Coturnix japonica: one gene and its partner. The protein of the gene in region 1 purifies or fractionates together with the protein of each later gene. This does not show direct contact. Links are inferred from orthologs where the notes say so. Each region holds a gene or a part of one and is shown on either strand. Other genes may lie near its edges. The genes, in order: GTSE1 and ACAD11.

The links.
Region 2: the proteins of GTSE1 (region 1) and ACAD11 purify together in Homo sapiens (co-immunoprecipitation; 3 studies listed by BioGRID and IntAct, counting the BioPlex papers as one, with this or other methods). This does not show direct contact. The link is inferred for Coturnix japonica from reciprocal best matches to the Homo sapiens genes GTSE1 and ACAD11.

The regions. Positions count from the first base shown.
Region 1 is NC_029516.1:14,058,974-14,062,794, forward strand, and holds part of GTSE1 (G2 and S phase-expressed protein 1), read left to right. Parts: intron 1-976; coding exon 977-1,121; intron 1,122-1,846; coding exon 1,847-2,230; intron 2,231-2,424; coding exon 2,425-2,497; intron 2,498-2,867; coding exon 2,868-3,110; intron 3,111-3,821. UniProt on the Homo sapiens protein: May be involved in p53-induced cell cycle arrest in G2/M phase by interfering with microtubule rearrangements that are required to enter mitosis. Overexpression delays G2/M phase progression.
Region 2 is NC_029517.1:38,933,432-38,937,252, reverse strand, and holds part of ACAD11 (acyl-CoA dehydrogenase family member 11), read left to right. Parts: intron 1-171; coding exon 172-333; intron 334-545; coding exon 546-710; intron 711-1,391; coding exon 1,392-1,539; intron 1,540-2,066; coding exon 2,067-2,188; intron 2,189-2,850; coding exon 2,851-2,957; intron 2,958-3,091; coding exon 3,092-3,215; intron 3,216-3,741; coding exon 3,742-3,819; intron 3,820-3,821. UniProt on the Homo sapiens protein: Acyl-CoA dehydrogenase, that exhibits maximal activity towards saturated C22-CoA.

The DNA of each region.
Region 1 (3,821 bases):
CACGCATGAACATAGATTAAGTTGTTTTGGAGTTATAGGCACCTACTTAGCTCTGCAAAACTCTGCTGCAGTACTACTTTATGCTTGTTTTCAGTGTACTGCTGTAGTTTCCTTGAGAATGGTGCAGGTGGTATAGGAAGAAGGCATGAGGTACGCAGCAGGAGACTGAGAGGCCAGTGGTACCTGGTGTTTGGTTTGGCATGTTTGCACTCATGGGGATTGGTTGTCATCTAGCTTGTCTTTCTGAAGGTGGCAGTAGCATACTAACAACTAAACAGGATAACAGTTTTACCTGAAGCTAACTGTCCAACCTCACACATCTGCATAACCCTACAGTCCTGAAAAGTGTTGTGGTATCTATTTAATTCATAGAATTATAGAATGGCCTGGGTTGAAAAGGACCACAATGAGGGGTTTCAAACCCCTCCCCTTTCCCCCCAACTATATGCAGGGCCACCAACTACCAGACCAGGCTACACAGAGCCACATCCAGCCTGGCCTTGAATGCCTTCAGGGGTGAGGCATCCACAGCCTCCTTGGGCAGCCTGTTCCAGAGTGTCAGCACCCTCTGTGTGGAAAAACTTCCTCCTAATATCCAGCCCAAACCTCCCCTGTCTCAGGTTAAGGCCATTCCCCCTTGTTCTATCACTGCCCACCCTTGAAAAGTTTCTGATGTAAGATATATCTTTCTCAGAGTCTTGTATAATCCTAATGTGAAAATAAGATAAAGGAGATTGTTTTAAGTTTATACTCAGGTTTGTGACAGGAATAAAAGTAACAGCCTACTTCAGAGAACTCCTATTTCAGTTCTGTACGATACCCAGATATAGTTAACCATTTCCAAGGGATACTGTTTTCTAAACTGTAACTCAAGGAAAAGGAATTTCTCAAACAGTCATACATGACTGTAATGCCAAGCAGAAACATAGCAGAGTAACATACTAAATACCACTTTTGTCCATGTTCTGTGCCTCAGCCTGGTTTAAAAAAAACACATCTGAAACTTCCTGGTGTTGCCAGTGGTCTCGCAAGGAAAAGCACTTCATCATCTTCATCATCAGTTTCCAGTGCGAGCTCAAGTCTGAACTCAAGTCTACCCATTTCTCCCATAGCAAAAAATGGTAAGTGCTCTTAATAAAGGTTTGTCCTATAAATCAGTTTTAAAGTAGATACGCAATTCTTGTCCCACGGATCTGAATGCTTTAGTGAAAAAAAAAAAAGCATCCTAAAAACACTTAGCAGATATAAATACCACAGGTCTGTTAGATAAAACAAGATTCCAAGCTATGGCAAATTCTTATTGTATACTTTGTTTCTGGGCAGATTAATAAGGTTTCTATCAGAAGTTAAGGCTTAGTAAGAATTTTTATATAATAGGAAGTATAAGCTGTCAAGATTTGTCCTATTATTGAAAGTAATAGACAGACTACAAGTAAAAACCATACTTGCAACCGAGAAAAGCTCTTATGGTGCAGTTCAGCCTGTGGTGTTAATTGGTGTAACTTAAATATTTTCCACTCAGTGCTCGTTTAAGGGAACCATCCCAACTCTGGTGGGCGAACATGCTGAAAATGTAACTTAGATTGCAAGCTGTTTTAGCATTCCTTGAAGAATATTCTTGTACTTAATTGCATTAATTTATAGTTCAGATAGTTGGTGAGGAGGATTTCTAAAGCTGACATCATTGCTTGAGTGTTTAGGGAGTAGGTTTTCATCTCAGACTTAAGTTGTTTCCTAATTAATTTAAATGCTGTAAAATGATGTTCCGTGCAAGGTTAATTATTTTGATTAATCATACTTAGCAGTAAACAGTGATTCAGAAATGAAACATAGCTTTCTGTTTCAGGGAAATCGAATGCAACTTCAAAAGCTGGTGTGAGTGGCTCTAAACCTTCATCTACTACAAACAGACTATCTCTGGCCAGACCAACCAGAGTGTCATCTATGCAGGCTGTCAGTACTGAAAGATCCAGCAAGCAAACGAGATCAGCTAGTACTCCCAAAATACCTAGTGCACAAAACTTGGCTAAATCTTCAGCTTCTGCACTAACGGTGCCATCTGAGCCTGAAGGCAGTGGAATTCAGAGGCTGAGGTCTCTCCCCAGTCTGCAGAAGCCAAGTCACCAAAATAAAGATGGAAGTACAACTAAAGGAAACCTGTGCCCAAAGCCCAAGGCTAGACTTCCGTCAGTTCCTACAGGTCAAACTCAAGTTCCAGTGAAAGCTGGAGGTAAGTATATGCTTTATGTAGCCTGTCTTCTGCTGATTTAACTTACAAAATCAAATGTTTCTTGAGTGCTTGCTGTCTTTCAATATGCTTCTATCTACCACCTGATAGAAACAAGTGTTCTAATTGAAAGGTATCTGTAGTTCTGAAAACTAAATATGAGTGTGGATAACTATTAACAAGGCATTTCTCTTTAGATATAACACCGAACAAGTCATCAACAAAAGCAACACCATCTCTTGGATTAACATTTTGTGGCAAAGTTGGAAGGTAGGACCAAATGGAATGTACTTCTTGGAATGTAACATGGGTACTTGTAGCAACAGTCTCCAAAAGCTCTAACTTTAAAGGCAAGCTTCTCTAGTCCCTTAAGAACCTCCAGGTCAGGCTGTGTTAATAACTTCTGAACTGATTTGGGGTGGGGGTGGGAGCTACATCCAGAACACTTCAGAAGGAGCCCCCTTTGTAGGGCTTAACTAGAGTTATTCTTAACATTTATTTTTGAAGTAAAACCCTATAGCTATTGACTTCTTGATGATCGCCTTTCAGTTACTGACCAAAGGTTAACTGATTCCTATTATCTCATAAAACTGAATAAACTTTCTAAGAACTTTTGGCTTGTTTTTGTACCTCTCCTCAGTGCCATGGCAGTCAGCACACCCCTGAAAGCTTCAGAAGACGGGATATTTCAGATTCCTCATGAGAGGCCTGTCTCCATGACTCCTTCCAGCTTGAAACGCTCTGCCTTACCTACACCTGTCCGTCGTATCTCAGGATTTCCAGCAGCAACTCCTAAAACCACACCAAGAACAGCATTTTCTCCACGCATTGAATCTGTTCGCCAAAGTTCCAGCTTTTCTACCAGGAAGACTCTCCCAGCTGGGTAAGGAGGAACACCCACCCCTGCTCTCCAGTGAAATGGAGAAATGAAATCAATGTAGTAGCTAAAATGCTTCTAAATGAAATAGAATGGCTTCCAATTTTCAAGGATCTTTTCCAAACCTTTAGAGTAGAACATCTGAACGTTTAGATACAGTATAGGCCTGATGTAGGTGTATATATCTTGCAATTAGTAAAATACAGTCAGCCTTAAGATCAGTCAATATTAACATTAAAGAGCTCTAATCTCCTAGGAAGCTACCTGAATTAGTTGAGCTACTGAGCAACTTAAACCACCTCAAAAAGTTTTATCTTTCATTTGAAACAATGTCTTGTACAAAGGGAGAGAATTCTACGCTACTCCTACCTACCCATCTAATTTCTGCAAGGATAATGTTGCTGCCTTCATGCCACAGTCCTGCGTCTTCTCACATGTGCATATACAGGATTCATTCAGGGCTGGTGAGATGAAAACTTAAAGTATGAATTACGCATTGCTAGTGAATATCTTCTGTTATGTTACTTAGCCTAAATGCCCCACATAGTCTTTTCTCTGAGTGAAACCAACCCACTGTCTCTAAAATTACGTTATGATGTGGATTAGATTATAATTCCTTATTAAAAAAAAAAAACCATGTGTGAAGCTTAGGCAGAATGTATTTGTCAACATGGGCATTTTATAGGATGAAATCTTTAAAGCCGTCACCTGATTTCA
Region 2 (3,821 bases), on another chromosome or scaffold:
GTTTAATATATTAAACAAAGAGAATTATGTAAATGTATTAAATGAGGAAAGAATTTTTATTATATAATTAATATTGGTTCACTGCATTTGTTTAGCTGCTGAAACAACTAACTTTGCATCTCTTTGTCTATGCCTATATCCTACTAAGTATCTGATTTCCCATGTTTCTAGGGTCGCATCTTTCGAGACGCCTCGCTGCCTGAAGTGGGCCCAGCAGAGCGTTCTGCTTTGTATCTCGCAATGATAGAAACTTTGGCTCAGATGCACTCGTTTGACTTGCGGTCATTGGGTCTCCAAGGATATGGCAGAGGACCAGGATACTGCAGAAGACAGGTATAGCTCTTGGAAAAATTATCTTGTTTCGTCAGGTCTTTAATGATTTCATTTGCAAGCTGATTTATTCATCTTAGATGACTTGTAAAAGTAACCGTCGTATTTTAACAATTCAGCACCTTCATTTAGTTAAGTATGAGTGCACGGTATAAAGTTACTGCCATGTTCCAAGTAGATTCTATAGCGCTGTTAAAGTGCTTGTATTTTTTCAGGTGTCAACTTGGAAAAGACAGTATGATGCAGCTGCTCATACAGATATTCCTGCCATGAACGAGCTAGCCGAGTGGTTAGCAAACAACGTGCCACTTGATGATGATGAAGAAGCCCTAATTCATGGGGACTTTAGAATAGATAACATCATTTTTCACCCAACAGAGGTATTTCAAATGCATCTGTACATTTTGTACTTTGTAGTTCTCCATTATTGCCTCTTTACAGGGGTAGATAATGGCAGGACAAGGAGAAAATGTATTAAGTTGAGGGAGGGAAGATTTAGGTTGGATATCAGGGGGAAGCTCTTTATAGAGAGAGTGGTGAGGTCCTGGAACAGGCTGCCCAGAGATGTGGTGGGTGCCCCGTCCCTGGAAGTGTTTAAGAGCAGGCTGGATGGTGCCCTGGGCAGCCTGGTCTAGTATTAGATATGGAGGTTGGTAGCCCTGTATACGGCAGGGGGTTGGAGCTTCGTGATCCTTGAGATCCCTTCCATCTCAAGCCGTTCTTTGAGTTTGTTATTTCCTTGTACGTGTTACAGAGCATTCCCAAGGAATTGTGGTTCCTCTGTGTCACTGTACTTTCAGTATAGGGTCTGTTTTTTGATGTTTGGTTATGATCAGGAGCAAAAGCACCTGTATTTTCCTTATCAGCAAAATAGTTGCAGTAATATACTTCTGCTTACTTTTCTGCTTACTTTAAAATGAAACTACTTTTGCTGTAGACAGCTACAGTGCATGTTTTTTTAACTTCAAAGCAATTAATTAAGCTCCTGGATATTAAGTCTGTTGTCCGTGTGCAGATCCTTCATTCTTAGAATTCACTTGAGTTTTTTATTCTTATTTAAGGCTCGTGTTTTGGCAGTGCTGGACTGGGAACTTTCAACCACTGGTCATCCTTTAGCAGATTTAGCATACGCTACTCAGTTCTACTTCTGGCCTACATCCCTGAACGTCTTTGGTCAAGGATCTGTCTTCAATTTCAAAGGCCCCATAGGTATGAAGTTATCATCGTTTAGTCAAACTGAATTCTATGGTTGATTTCTATTTGGTAGATTACTTTTACAAACAACAGTAAAATTAACACGTACATCATTTTGCTATTGGAAAAGAGCTTTTCTGTAGTTTTCTTCATTGTAGGAGATGTGTTGGGAGATGGGCTGATAGTTTTAAGGTAGCATCTGTGTACATTAGTACATTAATTCTACAAAAGGTTATTTGGAACGTTTCTTAGAGATAATGGGGGTAAGCTCAAATTTAAATAGGAATGGGTGATGTTCACATAAACACAAGATAAAATTGTGGTGCAATGGATTTCCTGACTGAAGTGGAACTGGGGGGAGTTTATGTGGAATTCTTGCAACACCTGTTTCCTTTCCATATCTGAGCACATGAGGAATGATATATTACATTTTTTGCTGTACTAACAAAATGACTCAAGTATTTGAAGAATGAGGTAAATCCTGGTGGAGGCTGAGCATTCTAAAATATTCTGTTGGTGTTTTTTGTTGTTGTTTTTTGTAGAAAATCCCTCATTTGAAGAACTGATTTCTGTTTACTGCCGCTGCCGGGGTATCAGCACTACAATCCCCAACCTGAATTTTTTTCTTGCTTTGTCATATTTTAAACTGGCAGGGATATCCCAGGTAATACTCACTACTTCTGAAATATCACATTTTTATTATGAGTATATGTAGGTTGGTAATATTTTTCTAATGATGAAGTACTGTTGTGTGATAATGGGAAAGGTATTTCAGTTTGTCCCTTTAGAAGCAGTGTCTTTTAGATGCTTGAGACTGTGTACTCTAGGACAGAATTCTTGCTGCTTGAAGTATGTAACATGAGATATTCAGCCATTGTAGGGCAGGAATGTATTTTGTAGCTGCAGCCTAAGGATAAGGCTACTAAAGGTGTAAACCAGCTGTTAGTAATTTCGAGTAAGACTGTATATGCATGTAGGTAATGTAGTTGTGAGTAATAATGCATTGGCTGAAGGGACAGAGTGGACTTGCATGTAGTATCCAATACAGGTACACTTCAGGGTTTTTAATGGCTCTTTTGTCTTCTGTTGGTTTGGTTTTTTGTTCTTGTCCAACTCTCTCTTACTCCTGTCATTTATATCAGAAATATACCCAAAGCAGCATCAACATATCCCAGTAAAATCCATCTGAGTTCTATTTCTTCCCCCCAGTTAAGAACATCTTAACTTACTTTTAAGTGTAAGTTCATAGTTGAAGAAACCACCAATCTGAAAGAGACATTTTTAAGTACACAGTTATACCATCTATGCCTTTCTTTTTGGTTGTAGGGTGTATATGCTCGATATCTCATTGGAAATGCTTCTGCAGAGAATAGCCATGAATTTGCTAAGATGGTGAAGCCTTTGGCAGAAAAAGGCTTAGAGCTCTCAAAAAGGTAACACCGGTTTAAAGTACTGATCAGAGGCGAGGCAAGACTTACAGCTTCACTTATTTAAATGTCTCTATAAGGCAGCTTATATCATTGTGAGAGAAAACCTGGTCTTACTTATTGCATTGGATGTTCTTTAGATTGTCTTTCAGCAACATGCAACACAATACATCTGGAGAGCTGTTCTATCAAAGTAGGAAAGGCCAAGAAATGCTGCTGAAGGTAAAGCAGTTCATGAAGCAGCATGTATATCCAGCTGAGAAGGTAAAAGTCCCCAAAGTCTTTCATTCTCATGCAGATGTGCTAATGCATTGTGCAGACATGGAGGTGCTGTGCTCCTTTTATTTAGAGAGCTCACAGACAATATTTGATCTCATACGGTAACAGGAAACGTGAGTTGGGACTTGTAAATTCTGCATTTGTTAGATGATAATTTATTCATCCTAAAGCAGGTCCTAGGGCACTTCTGAAAGAGTGCTGTACATTACTAGAACATACTGGGGAAAGTACTAGGATTTCTAATACGTAGTTTTATTTAGTAACTAAACATTGGTACGTGGAATGACTGTTTTGATAATCTGCTAAACAGCTGACAGAAAACAAGCATGCTATTTCCAATTTATTTTAAAAAAGAAAAAAAGATGAGTTTTTATATCTGAATATATGGGAAACCTAATGCTTAGGTGTCAGCACTTTGAGCTTTTATTTGTGGTTTTGATTTTGAGTTCATTCCTCTCATGTAGTACTGTTGACATTGGTCAGCAGTTGTGTTTATTGTCATTTCTCTTAGGAAATAGCAGAATACTATGCTAAACATGGAAATACTGAGGAGAGATGGAAGAAGCCACCAGTGCTTGAGAGGCTGAAGGT